Lytechinus pictus: one gene and its partner. The protein of the gene in region 1 interacts with the protein of each later gene in a pairwise test. Links are inferred from orthologs where the notes say so. Each region holds a gene or a part of one and is shown in the gene's direction. Other genes may lie near its edges.

Region 1 (7,840 bases):
TTTCTCAATCTCATTAACGAGTGTCAAATATACAGACAGGGGCAGTGTTAAAGTTTGAAGGCGGGGAGGGGGCGGGGGGGGGGGGGAGATTGCCCCTTTCATCCTTAAAGGGATAAAAAAAAAACTATATATATTGAAGAATGGGAATAGGCATGGACGATAATGATAAGAATAAGGACACGATCAAAGAGTTTTGAAGAGAAAGAACTACATGTACATGTATAGTCTTGTACAACTGTAAAACACTCATATTCATATTTTCATACTTTCCTCTTGCCCCCCCCCACTTCCCATTTGAATATCCCTGTGCTACTCTTCAATGAATAGAGTAGAATTTGTATGAAATCGACAATGATATCTTAAATAAACTACCGTGAAACTCTGCACCTTCCATATGTCTATAACCTTGCAGGGAATATCATATAGTGGCCCTCTTTTCATCAAGTACAGGTTTAAAATTGGACTAGATTGGTGAAGTGTGAGTTAAGACAAGCGTGCATATTTGGGTCAACTTCAATTAAGCGTGGCCTCTCGGAGGCGAAAGCTCTCTCCCCGGTTCTTAGTCCATTGATCTAGAATGGATAGCAGAAATCATTGATTCATTGCAGGTCATTCCTTGTCACTTCTGTAGAACAAAATCACACAAATATTTCATGGGATGTGAGAAACATGAATTGGAGTATCTTTCCAGATATTTCCTTTGTTTCACATTTCAAGGATTGTTGGTTTATTTATATATATTTGAACATTGAGTATTTAATTTATTTGTACTGTTATTTATTTATTTTTTCTTGGGGGGGGGGGGTTGAGTATTAATTCTTACAGGATAATCAAATCATCAAAGATGGTGCTATAGAAGTATCTGTCATGGGAAGATTGGTCAACACAGACACACATATTGAAATCTATTTTGGGATGCCCGACCACGAATGAGGGCTAGATGCATTTCAAATTTGTAACCCAGTACGTGTGCGTACAATCATTTGACCGCCTTGAAAGGATTTTGGATGCGCATAAGTAGATAAGTGCGTGCCCATAAGGGTAAAAATAGCTCAAATCTTTTTCTTTCCTTCTTTCTTAGACAGTGTTAGAAGTGCATATCCTAAGGTCGTTGTAACAGTATACTGCCTCAAAATAACCTTCGAATAGGATTATGATCGATTGTTTAACACCATTTAAGAGTACTGCAGTATATTCAATACAACTCGCTCCTTTTCCTTTATTTCTAATTGATTAATTATTTTTATTTATCTCAGTTTATATTCATTTACATTGACTTATAACCACAAAAAGGGTGGTCTGTCATAGAGCCTTTAAACAATCAAACAAATCATCAAAATTGATAAATTAATAAGGATAAAAACTAAAATATATCACTTGCACATTGAATAAAATATGATGTTATAACTGTTATAACTTGACATGATGAATTACATCCCCCTTCTATGGTTGTATTTTCATAATAAAGCGGGTCATAAGTTTAAATCTCAGCATATATAACGGATGATATATCAACAGGGGTTCTCCTCTTGCACACTGCCATATGGCCAATTGATAGATTACCGTTTTTTGTCATGTTTTTCTACCTTTTAATGACAGTTTTTTCTCATGAACATGTAGCCTACTCACTTTCCAAAATTAAACTTTACGCTGCTGTCATATGGAATGCATGCTGTACTAGTTTTGGGTATTTCCATAAAGTACACACTGCAAAAACACCGGTGTTAATTTAACAACAGCCTGGTATCTATATCGGTCCACACCAGAGAAGCATTGAAACAACACCAGTTGAGAATCACACCGATATTGGTTTAACACTAATTGGTGTTGCTTAAATGCCAAATTGGTGTTTGCCTAACACCAAACTGGTATTGTATCAACACCTCTCTGGTGTGGACCAATATAGATACTAGGCTGGTGTTAAATTAACACTGCCTTTTTTTGCAGTGCATTGATTAATTTGAACCATGCTGTGAACGAACACAGCAAATACTGTGGTGTTAATCAATATACACCGGTGTACATAGATGACAGCATTACTTTGGTGTTAAATGTACATTGTTGTTCAACACCCATGGGTGTCTTAACAACACTTTTGGTTATTACCTTAACATTCTTTGATGTCATGGTTCTAACTCTAGGGTGTACTTTAAACACCTTGGGGTGTGGTCTTCTCAGGACACCAACTGGTATCCAGTTTTAACACTGAACCAGTTTTTACAGTGAACTATGTGTCTTTTAGAGCAGATTTTTTGCTTTCACAGTTGGTTTCTTTGTTTTAAATTAGAAGATCAGATGATAAAGGCTTGGTCCCATTGCACTTTAATACGGATGCAGAGAGGATGGTAAAACGGAAAAGAATCTTGCCATCCGTTCCAAAACGTTATGTATTCGTTGTGTACTCTTTGCATACGTGTTATACGCTCTATATCCATCGAGCATCCGTCCACTGTGATTTCATTGTTCGCCCATTTTGTCCATTGTCTGGAGCGGATGAAAACAGATGGAGCAACCCCAAAATTTGTCTGCTGTATTCGTTATGAGTACGTTTTGTGTCCATCGGAGAGTGGGACCAGGCCTTTAGATGCCTGTGGAATTCTCGTGTTAAAGATGCAGCCCTGACTTTCAGTAATGTGCCTTAGACCTCCTCCCCTCCAATTATGCAGTTTTCCCTCCTTTGGATAAACTCTTGCCATGCCACATCAAACCATTGTCGCAAATCATATACAGTTCTTGCCACCATTTAAAAGATGATATCTTGTCGTTTGGCTATTCATGAAATTCATGACATTCATTCGCATTGATAAGTGACCCAGAAAAAATGGCATTGCTTTTGTTGTTTTAATTAATGGGGGAGTATCAATTGGCGTACGTAATTCAATTTGGTGTGTGGTTGTTGATAATGATAAGTAATGAAGTGTGATCACCCCTGTTAGAGGTAATTGAATAATATACACCATGGTTGAATTAAAGCTAATTGGGTGTATGATTTCTGGCTCTATATTCAATTCAGCTCTCATGATTATTTTTATTTGGCTATGAATATCAATAACATCAACTACCAATATGAATTTAGACAAGTTGAATACCATTTGTGGTTGATTTCAATGAGATTGGCTTGTTATGAATGATCATAAGTAACAGTTTTGGGAATAGCTTTCTAGAAGTATTACAGTTCATGTCTCTATCATAGGTCTACACATACTCTACTTTAAAGAAGTAGTATTGAGAAGGATCTTTCATTGGGTCATAAATGTTTGAATGAATAGATTTGAGAGGCAAAAATAGTAGACTATTATTGGAGTCATAATGGTTATAATAATAATTTACTTTTTTTTTTCAAATTTATTAACAAGAAGAATGTCAACAAGGAGATATATGAGTGTAACCAATAAATTTTATTGGTAAAGATAATTGTGAAAATCATTTTGATCATAGAATATTACCTTCCACAACAGAGCCTGAATTACATTGTATTCAATATCGTTTTTCAAATTTAAACAGCAACATGAATCATGATTGAAAATGCTATTACAAAACATGGATATAATGAGAAACAAAGGGTGTGTTCAATGTCCCCCATTCCCGATCGTAATAAGTAAACGTCTTTCAGATCGCAATTCGGAGGAAGAATGCGCAAAAAATGTATGTTTGGAAATGCGATCAGCTCCGATTTTACGAATTTCAGCATCGCAAATGGGACACTGAACACAATTGACCTTCCTTGTGATAGGTCAAACTGCGCAGTAAGCTGCTCTTATGAGCGGGAAATTTAATGAAAGACAGTCGATGAATAATCAGCTTTATATTTTCGACCACGAATGGTGGAATGCTGATTGCGTTTGTGTTCTGTGTTTGTATCGCGTTTTCAATCACGATTAATGCTGCTGTTTAAATTAAAAATATTATAGACATTGAATACTCCTTAATAGAGAGAGAGAAGGTTTGGCATGGGTCGGTTGTACATAATGTGTGCTCAATACAGCTCTCTGCGTAGACACGTGCCTCTTGACGATTGATTAATTAGATGATTGTTTACCTCACGAGCAAAGCATTGGGCTGTCCTACATAAAATAAACAGTGGGAACTTTGATTATCCCCCTATGATAAACAAGGAGGCAGATTTAAAAAAATGTAACCTGTAGGAGTAGTCTTTGGGAACAGACTTCCTTCTTAGATCCAAGTAACTCCTTGGCACTAGCTGTCACTGATGTCTGTCGCCATGATACCTCTGTGAACAAATAAACAATAAAAGTCAGTATTCATTTCTAAGTCGGTATTCATTTCTCATACTAACCCTAACCATGTGACAGTTTTTACACCTAAGAAAGAAAAAAAAATTATTTCACACAAGCCATGTAGAGTATTTTTCCTCCTAGAAAAAAAAGAGAATGTCACTGGAATCAGTAAATAATACGTTCATATCTGAGGCTGATTGCAGAATAGCACTTTATAACAAAGCTACAAAGGGTAGGCCTATCTGTTTGGTCATTTACACTTTCTTGGAAAAACTGCATATTTCAATTCACGTCTTGATACATATGAAGATGTCAATGTAATTTGAGAATGTTGTGCTACACTCTTTGCATTATTGTTTGGCTACTTGGGGTCCGCCCCGTGTTACTTAGGAAACTGAAAAATCCATCGCTCTTGTCGTGTCTAATTTATTCCCACCTGCACTGGACAGTTAGCATGGTGTCTCCCTGCCTTCTGGCTTGAGACTCCGTTACTATCCTTTGCCCCCTTACCGTAATAAACAAGAAAACTGTCATCAGTATGGTTGCCATGGAAACCATCTGGTAATGGGTGGGGGGGATGTTTTCATTCTCTAGATGCATCTCGGCACCAAATTTCTTTGTGGGTATTTTTGTAATGCATCCTTCCATTTCTCCTCATGCCCATCCATCTCATGATCGATTTGTATCTCTGTAGTAGCGTGTTTTTACATAGAATTCTTTATGAGGCAATGTGCATTGTATTCATACATCATATGGGTGTGGGAGGATGTGTGCGTGGGTGTATGGATGTATGGATCTTGTGAACACCCAGGCCCTCATGATTATCTCCCAACAATTTTTTGCCATGTCGATTTTCATATAATGTATGCCCATTTATACATTATATAACAAATTTGAATGCATCCCACAGACACAATTGTAGTACATTCGAATAGAATATATTGAAATATTATAACCTGCATTATTTCTTCATTTTCTATAAAATAAACCATCCCCTAACATCTTTTTCAGTACATTTCCTATATCTTGATATATTGATGTTTTTTATGATTCCCTGTTATTTTGTAAATTTGTGATTTTTTTTTTAATAGAAGATTATTACCACAGATTCTCTCGGGTTATTTTTATTTTTCAGGGCTCTTTTGAACATATCGAGGGTGAAATCACTTTGAGACTTCTTGTAATTTTCCCCCTGATTTTGTTGTGAAACTTGTGTTTATGATCATTACACGTCTCATTTCATATTCTTCCCCTTTTTTTATATCTCCCATCACAGGCATATAGTTGTGTGCGGTCACATCACGTACGACAGCGTCTCCAACTTCTTGAAAGACTTTCTGCACAAGGACAGGGACGATGTCAACGTCGAGATCGTCATCCTTGACACGTAAGTCAGCCGACATCGTTCTTTCAAAAGTGATTAAGCTACCTTGGACCAAGAAGTCATAATGGTTCATACTCAATTGGTCTAAAAGCATTTTATCTATCTTAGATGGTGTTATACCACATGGGCTATAAAACCCACTGGCCCGTATTCTGAAGTCGGGTTTAACTTAAACTCAGTTCAAAGTTGGGGTTTAAGTATGGACAGCCAATTGTTACATAATCACTAACAGTAGAGATATCATACTTCAGCTCATTTGGCTTTTAAATCATTCATAATTGTCTAGGAAGTATAAATAGATGATTGTCTTCACCATCGATGAATCAGGAAAGAGCACAGTAAACATAAGAAACATACAACTTAATAAATATTTTGATACTTTTGGCTTCCCATACTTAAACCACAACTTTAAACCTGAGTTTAAGTTAAACCCGACTTCAGAATACGGGCCATTTGGTCTAATGTCTGTTTTGTCTGATTTCCTAATATCAATTTGGTGTAATTGACTTTTAATAATAATAATATAGGGTATTTATATTGCGCACATATCCACCTTGTTAGGTGCTCAAGGCGCTCCTATATTACCCGGCTAAGCTAGGCGTTCATAGCGCACACAGCTTTTTAAGGAATTACTTCCTACCAGTACCCATTTACCTCACCTGGGTTGAGTGCAGCACATTGTGGATCAGTTTCTTGTCGAAGGAAATTACTTTTGTTCTACATTAATTTCACTTGGTCTAATACCCGCCAAATTCTTATTTATCTCAAGCCCTGTTTGCCTCATTTCTCTTTCGCATTCTTATATTTTTATTCTGTCGAATGAAAATCTGCGATGTTTCATTAACAACTTTGGTTTTGCAGGTCTGCATTGTAAGCACCTTTCAAAAAAGTGTTTTTCAGTCTTTCATGTTTGCCTTTTTAAAACGATGTTTATTGACAAGAACCTGCTTGAATGCATCTATGTTTGAACAAAAATTTGTTGAAATCCATCCCAGGTATGAAATACTATCACAGACCTGCCAACCAGTATGTTTTAGCCGTATTTAGTACGTTTTTGCAACCAAAAATCGTAATTTATTGAGAAAAATCATCTCTATATGTCTCTATTTCATAAAACGTACACAAATATGGTTATAAGATCAATGTAATTTCAGGTAACTTGTTTTTTTTTCAATCATTTTGTAAAAACCAGGGTGAGATATACACAAGTTTCAATGTTTTTTTTTTCTTCATCTGCAAGAGCAGTGAGCATTTTAGCTTGCATGCAGCTTGAGCGCCGTGATGGGTGAGTGCGCCAAGCATTTTATTATGAAATACACTGTTTTGGGGAAAAATACAAAATATATATCTCACACAGTAAAAATACTGATTTTTTTTGGTCAAAATACTGATTTTGGGGGATAAGAATACTGAAAATGCAAAATACAACTTGGCAGCTCTGCTATCAACTGAATGCAGCCTTTAAGCATAGTCCAATCAGTACTCCCATATAAACGCAGAGGATTGCCAATTCGCACCTCAACATGGGATTGAGTACACAGAGAGGGAGTGTGGCATTGTATATAGAGTTTCTCGCTAACGGACATGACCTCGTAATGGTATTTTTCATACTGTGTTTCATTAGAACACCGAGGCCTGAGGAGTGATGAAGATATACACTTTATTCAGCCTAATCCTAGGTCAGTTCCGAATTTGGAATAGCCGCATTGAAGATTTGGTTGGTTTTAGTTGTATTTCATGGTTTTCCTTGTCTTACGTATTTCAAATTTATTTTGTAATCTGATTTGGGATAATGCTTTCTCTCTCTCTCTTAAAAAGTCAATGTTTACTCCCTTTCCAACCCCTTAGTAGTGACATCAAGGAACACTAAATTTGGAATGAATTTAGAGTTAACATAAACACGAGACGGAGCGTCCAAAAATTCCACAGTGTTAAAAGATGAAATTCACTCAAAAACTCTTGATCTAGTAACTTTTATTCACTCCAATTAGTGAATCAATATCAGATGGATGAATATATTGCATAGGCCTAATATAGTGAATTCAATCAATTTATTTAAAAATCTTTATGATCATAAGGATGAAGCTTCTAATATAATAGAGATAAACGTAAAGTGATTAAGCAATATGAAAAGAGCAGCAACATTGAATCCCTGTTTTGGGCTTGTATTCTGGAACATGAATCATGTTAGGGATCTGTGTTATTTTAGTTTGAAACA
Region 2 (7,586 bases), on another chromosome or scaffold:
GATGGGTGGGTGGATGGATGGATGGATGGATGGGTGGGTGGATGGGTAGATAGAAAGAAAGATAGATAGATAGATATAGAGAGAGGGGGAGATAGATAGATAGATAGATATGGGTACATAGATAGATCAAACTACTTGAAAAAAATCTTCTTTAGGGCCTGTATGGAGGAAAATGAAATAAGTAAGGTGGTGACTTTCAGCTTTGACATTGTGGGGAATGGCGTCACCGAGAGCTGTCAATTCAATGTGCCATTGGCGTTACAGAACAGGTGTGTATGTCATTTGTCATTATCCGGCATGACAATAATCAACGGGTCGTGTGTTTAAGTATTCTACCATTACAAGGTGAAGTTAGCTAAACCTGCACTTTTACACGTATTTCTCAATAGATACAGATCTTGAATGAGATCGAACACTTGAATTAGGTCGAGCAACAACCCCCGCCAAACTTTTGTTTTTGAATGAATTTCATTGAGATTAATATACTTCATTAAGTTTTGTTGAGTACTTAAGATGGAAAATGTGTTAGATTTCGATGGTTTACCTTAGATCAATGTGATTAAAGGGACCCCTCCCCCCGGAAAGGGAAAAATTGAAAAGGAAATTCCCTAAAATCAAAGAAACAAATATTGACCCCACACACACACACACCCCCACACACGCATACACAAATAAAACGAATGAATAGAAAGGGAATAGTTTATAAACAACGGGTAGGCATATGGTAGGTAAAGTTGTAAAGTCATTGGTGGAATATATACCCCATGCACCCGACATCCAGCAACAATTATGTGCCCACTATATTCTAATAATTATCTAAAACACCACCCCTACCCCCCCCCCCTCTCAGCCGTAAGTCCCATCCACCATGTTCAGACTGGAAATATATTTTTCGTAACTATAAATTACTAATGTCGATAACTAGGCCTATAACTTTTACACTTACTTCTACCATGTCGACAACTCCTAACACTAAACCATTGGGGTTTTTTTCTACACGACTTACCTTCATCAGAAGTCTTTTAGCGTAGTATCATGCAACAATCATCCATTTTTATCATTAATTCACTGAAACAATATCCCATGAATCATCGTTGTGCTAGACTTTCTCTTCACTTTCTTCCTTTAGAGATAAGACTTCGGCTGATGTTTGACCCTTTTGTCAAATAGAACTGGGTGGTCTCTATATAAATCCTATCTCAAGACAGTTTTATCATTTTACATTCAGGGGCCGCGGAACGGTTTTCAAATTGGGGGGGGGGGCGGCTGACCATGCAAAAAATCACAATCATATGGTCATTTTTACGTTTTTGTACATGGTTTTGGAAAAAAGTGGGGGGCTGAAGCCCCCCCCCCCCCCCCCGCTTCCGCGGCCCCTGATATTGTAATTATTGCTTGAACTTTATCAATGGAATTTGAAATATAAAAAGAAATAAATTTCCCATAATCGTTCACATTATTTTTTTTTTAGTTCATAAGAATGAAATTCATTCTTTGATGATCATTTCAACGATATGTTACTTATTATTTTTGCATGTTTTTATTTTCCTTATTCTTTCACTATCTAATTCAACCAATATGAAACGAGTTTTTTCTACACACAGTCAATAACCTTCAAATAAATTAAATTATATATTCATGTATAATACAGTTTTGTTGTTCATATGCATGAATGCGTACAATTTTGCTTCGAACAATTTACAGTTTGGATATTCTTGGTTCAGAAAATGGTAGTAGGTTGTAGCATTAGACTAATTTCGACCATGCAGCAATTGCACAAAAATTCGGTTGTTGTTGTTTTTCAGGCCTAGTATATATGCTTTCTCTAATTTTTCAAGGAAACGATATTTGTAATACGTTCTTCAACGTTCTTTTTTTTAACACAGGAATGATCTCAGTATAGTCAAGGATGAATAAACAGCCTTCCATAAATAAATTCATATATTGCTATGGTAACTAGAAGTTTGTAAACAATTATTAATTGAACGTGAAAACATTGCCACCCTATAATGCTCCATTTTTTACTCCTTTTTTATGTCGCCTTGGAAACGTTTCGAAACCACACAAAGTTTGACAGTGTAAATTTAACCGATTTTGGAGAGTTAAAGTGACAAGGGGCTGACTAATAATCCACCACATCAGTGATTCCACTTCCCAGTTTAAGTCAATTTGTGTAATTTTGTCAACTTAGAATAGCTCATCATCAGATATTCACTATTCTATATATACCTTTTTGCATTCTCTTTTTCGTTTTCATTTCCTCTCTTCCCTTTTTTGCTTATTTCTTGTTCCTTCTTTTTTTCTCCATCGATCTTTTCCATTCTTCACCCTCATATTGTACTCGTTCTGATATTCATGTATTCTATCATGGACTTTCTTTCAAGTATTTGAATCTAAAATGTACTTCCATTTAACTATGTGAATAATCCATTTGTCATTGTTGCAATAAAGAACAAATAATTTGTCGTTAATAGTTCTTTAACATGGTCACTTGTCCAATCTATTTGTCAATTAACAATTCTAAAATTACCAAATAATCACGTAACGTCCTTGTATCGATTATTATGGAATCAATTCAATTCGGACTCAGAATTCATCACTTTGTGGTATTATCCTTTCTTTTTCATTCATGTAAATCCAGTCTTCCCATATCTTTTCAATTAAAAACCTAATTCATTTGCAGTGATAAAGTGACTGAGCTTTTCTTGATCAGGGGCGGTGCCACCTTCTATGGAAGGGATGGGGACATGGTCCAGGTTAATTTGCTTGCATTTTAATAATGATAATAAAAAGATCATTGTCAGTAGTAGTATAGCATTATCATGAAAACCTATAATCTATTTTCCTCCAGAATTCTTTTTTTTTCTTTCCAATAATAAAATTATCCTTTCCTTTTCTCTTCAATAAAAAAAACCAAAGGGTGGTCACCCCAATGCAAATGACAGACTTGATCACGTGACACTTGACACCGTCATACAGCCTTCTCACGTGAACTGATGACACGGGTTACACGTATATTTACCTTTGTTTATTTAACAATAAAACATCAGGTTCAGAGTCGAGCTATTTATATAGATTCAAGTCAAATAGATTTACTGGTCTTTCACGCCTATAAATGGCAAGTTAAGTTAAATTTTATTCCAGTTTGCTGTCGATAATTTATCCCCCCATATATCGTCTAAAGTTTTTTATTGGGAAAGGCGTGGAGCTGCAAGGTCTACGACAATTTTGCTCTACCAACTGAGTCATGATTAGAGCAGGGATTCGAACCCCGTAACTCTAATTTGCAGAAATTAAAAATAAATCCAGACGGACCGTAATAAGGGACCGATCGAATTCTGGATTTAGTTTGAATCCTACAGATTCATTTTTTAAATCTCAAAGTATTAGATATATCCCTCAAGTGTTTTTTAAGATTTAAACTAAATCCACAATTCGATTGATCCCTATAAATGCAGTCCATCTAGATTAATTTTAAATCCCTGCAATTTAGAGTGCGTATCATGGAACAATATTGAATGTTTCTTTCAAGCAGTGGAAGTATAATTTAATGTCTAGGCCTATATTGCGTTAATACTAAAGTTGTGTTAACTATTAACATGGACATGTCCCCACGCGCCCCCTTCCTCATCCTGGTTCCCCACCCGAATCTATAAACCCCACAAACAATACCCAATTTATACTAAAAATGACTATATTTGGAGAATAACAGATTGGTGGTATACCTCGTCATTGTCATTCTACTCAGAAATAAAAATCTTGTTGAATACAACTAAAGCAGTAAATAATACTTATTAACAAAATCATATCAAGCTCACGATTTCATCTAATCATGTTTACTAATTGTAGTTTGTTAAAGAGTGTTAATCCAATGAAAGTTATTATCCAGGATTTTGTTTTAGATGGGGGGCATTTTGTTCTCAAAATTTGATAAACAAAAATATATAAAGGGGAAAAGACACGAAAAGGAGAGTTTGCTTCGTGGCCGGTTCGTGGCAAACAGAAACCTTAACAAAAATATTGCTGACCTTTTTCAGTTGTTCGGCATCTTTGCATTCAACTGTGAGAAAATAAATCTAAAGAAGAAGAAAAAGCCTGCGATTTCAATTGTGTTTATACCCATTCGGATATACTTCTCTGGAACATTATTTTCTCTCCTTTTTCAGACCCGCGCGAATATTATACGTACCGAGTCTGTGAGCTGATCAATTTTTGTGAGAGACAAGCAGGTTCGCATCGTCTTGCGCTCATTCCGCGAAAGAAGTCCGTGAATGGAATTATTACCAGTAACACTGCATTCACATGCAGATACACAATGGTTCGTATAATTCTATTCTTTTACCTTTCCTTTCACTTTCTCCATGATACCGTCTGTGTTTAGTAAAGGAAAGACCCTTTGAGGTATTGTTGATATTATTTAAGTAAGGTTTGTACGAGTGTATTGCTTTTATTCGAGTTCTTTGGACCGTGCAACCGCGGAGAGGACAATAGAGCGAGCACACGAGAGTGCTCGGTTGGGGCGGCTCGGGCGAGGGAAGATTCGACGATCCGCAGGTTGCTTCGCAGCTACTTATATTCATTATTCTATATCTTTAAAAAGCATCTCTCAGCTGATAACCGCTTCTTGGTCCCAGTTTGATACCATCCTTAGGTATTCAAGCACCTCATCATCGGCCTCTAGGTTTTAATATCTGGATTATTACTCGTCTGACATCAACTAACCTTGGATTAATACGGAGACTATATCTGCAGACGATAACTCAAGTTTGGTCCCCTACTGGGCACCTAATCATTTTGGACGTGCTCTCTCTTCCCCATCTCCAATTAAGTGATACATAATTTGGATAGCTCAATTCTATTTGTCTTTATCTCTTCAGATTCGTCTTCGATTTAGCAGAGACCAGTCGGGCGACATGTCCAAGGGCAAGGGCTCGCCACACGTCGCCCAATGGGACAAGCAAAGTAAGTCGAAATCTACTTCCCCTTTAAACTCGACGTCCGTGCAAAGGTTTATTAATTCGATTAGTATATGTTTACGATTGTTTCTGGAAACAAAGTCCATGATGAATTTCAGAAGAGAGATAAACGTTGTTTGATGATCGAGTGTATAGCCTATTTATTAGATGCCTTGATAACAAACGCGGTGTGTTTGTGGGTGTGTGGTATTGGTCAGTATGTCCCGATTTAGAAATGATTTTAGCCATCACTATTTTTGTGTACCCATGAGTAATGATGTATATTGTGGGGAATTATTGTTCAACATTGTGGAGAACATCGATCATTGATCCATTTTCTATTCAGAATGACCCATCTATTCGTGTTTTAAACATAATGAACTAGATACGAAGTAATAGTTCAATGCACTTCGAGTTTGCATAATTTATTGGACACCAGATGGCAAACATTGCTATTTTTAAAAATGAAATAAAACTTGTTTTTATTTTGTTTTAAGTGTAAACTTGTACTAGTACGTTTAACGTATACTAGTATCACCACCTACAATATAAATATTTAACGTTATTCCATTCGGTACTCACAACGTTTTACTCACAATAAAACGCTTCTATCTCATCTTTTATAATTATTATTATGCCTTGATTATGGTTGGCAACACTTTCATGATTAAAAAAACGAATAGGGGTAATTCGTGACCATGATTATTATCTGCATTTAAATGGGTTTGTAACACAAAATGGTTATAAACGGATATCAAATATACATCGTAATAGTAAATATGTGACTTGATCTCACTTTCAATATATACGACATAATATTTATTGTTGACACCAATTACACCTCATGGTTTGTTTTCGGCCTATTCAACTTGGAAACCACGTTCTGAACAAAATTTTATCAAATATTAGTACATTCGTCGAACTGAAACGCTCTCTTTTTGTTCTGTACATAATATAAAAAGGTTAGTATTTCTTGTTTATTCCGAAGCTCACTGACTTGTAGCTTTACATGATTTTAATAATAATAATAATAATATCCAATTTTTAGAAAGCGCTTTTCCCAGAATGGCTCAAAGTGCGTTACAGCATATTATTACCCCGGTCATTGGATTCATTTCAATTCCGCACGAAAAGTGCACAATTTCCACTCCCTGGGGAGCATTCCTTGCATTCATCGCAGCCTCCTAAGTACACAATTCACCTTTAAAATGTATTTGGAGTTAGAAGCCCCCTTTTTTTATTTTACCTCCCGCATGTAAACGCACTCTGACTTCCGAAGCAATATGTTGTGTACCTTTAATTGGTTCATATCGTAGCACACCCAGCAAAATGTGCTGGTCATGCTGGTGGGTTTCGAGGAACTATATCGAAGGACACCGACTTGTCCCTTTAAATATACTTTTTAATCCCGGATTCTTTAAACCGCGGTAAATCCTGCATGCCATGGTAACGAGTAATCTTGTTTAACCTCCCGATAACTAAATAGTGAAGCCAGAGAAAGTTATATTGTCTTTACTTGTTTTTGCTATTTTTGTCATCCGGTGTTCGGGTTTCCAAACGGTGCCTGCTTTCCGGTTGAAATAGGAATAATGTATAAGAGCTTGTATAACTCCGGACACACACAATACAAGTGAATGGAAATGATATCGAAATGAGTTGTATATTTTTTCAGTTATTGGTTGATTTGGAATACGTTTCGCAGTGTGACAGAATATAGATTCCCTTTACATTTAGATCAACCGAATCAATGGTATTATGCATACATGCTTCAATTTTGCTTGCATGGGATTCATCGAATCATTGTTTAACTTTCCAAGCAAAATATGTCCCATTTTGACGTGCAACTGAGGTGTCAAGAACAATAATAAGGGGTGTTCAAGGATGACCACACCTTCGGGCGTTAAAATACACCATGGGATTTTAATATAACACCAACAAATCAAAATAACATACACAGTGTGGTATATGTGGAGGAGCCGTGGTGTAGTGGTTCTGACTCTCGCCTTGTAAACAGATGGTCGTGTGTTCGAATCCCACCGCGGTCTGGCGTTCTTTGGCAAGGCGTTAATCCACACTTTGCCACTCTCGACCCAGGTGCTAAATGGGTACCCGGTAGGATGTGAAAGTCATTGTAGCTTGTCCAGTACTGTGTGCGCCTCACCGGCGACTGACTGGAATACTACCCAGGGAGTGGAGGATGTGCACACATTGTGTGCGGGAATGACTGATTGAATCCGATGACCGGGGTAATAATAATTTTCTGTAAAGCGCTTAGACACGTTGTTCCGATGTATTAAGCGCTATATTAAAAAACGGATTATTATTATTATTGAGTGTTGAACGAACACCGTGAATTTAACGCTGGTGTTAATGTTTGATGTGGTGGTCTGAAAACACTGGTGGTGTATAGTTGTAACACAATTATTATAGTGCAGTGTTCATTTACCATTCCCGCCATGATCATGATGAACAAAATGCAGAATAAATTTGTGAAAGTGTATTGATTGTTTCAATCAATGCACATGAGCATATTCGATACGCTATTAGCAGCGATCTGTTACTGTTCTAAATTACATACCCATTGTTTTTCTTTGGAGTGAATTCCCTCTTCCCCTAATCATATTTGGACTT

Evidence for each region.
Region 2: the proteins of calcium-activated potassium channel subunit alpha-1-like (region 1) and cAMP-dependent protein kinase catalytic subunit 1-like interact in binary tests that used the Drosophila melanogaster proteins (3 or more experiments, as listed by UniProt). The link is inferred for Lytechinus pictus from reciprocal best matches to the Drosophila melanogaster genes slo and Pka-C1.

What each region holds. Positions count from the first base shown.
Region 1 is NC_087262.1:7,055,437-7,063,276, forward strand, and holds the start of calcium-activated potassium channel subunit alpha-1-like, read left to right. Parts: upstream 1-4,776; coding exon 4,777-4,799; intron 4,800-5,514; coding exon 5,515-5,625; intron 5,626-7,840. UniProt on the Drosophila melanogaster protein: Potassium channel activated by both membrane depolarization or increase in cytosolic Ca(2+) that mediates export of K(+). Its activation dampens the excitatory events that elevate the cytosolic Ca(2+) concentration and/or depolarize the cell membrane.
Region 2 is NC_087255.1:30,787,031-30,794,616, reverse strand, and holds the start of cAMP-dependent protein kinase catalytic subunit 1-like, read left to right. Parts: upstream 1-4,535; 5' UTR 4,536-4,554; intron 4,555-4,877; 5' UTR 4,878-4,913; coding exon 4,914-4,962; intron 4,963-7,586. UniProt on the Drosophila melanogaster protein: Serine/threonine-protein kinase involved in memory formation. Promotes long-term memory by phosphorylating meng and by regulating CrebB protein stability and activity.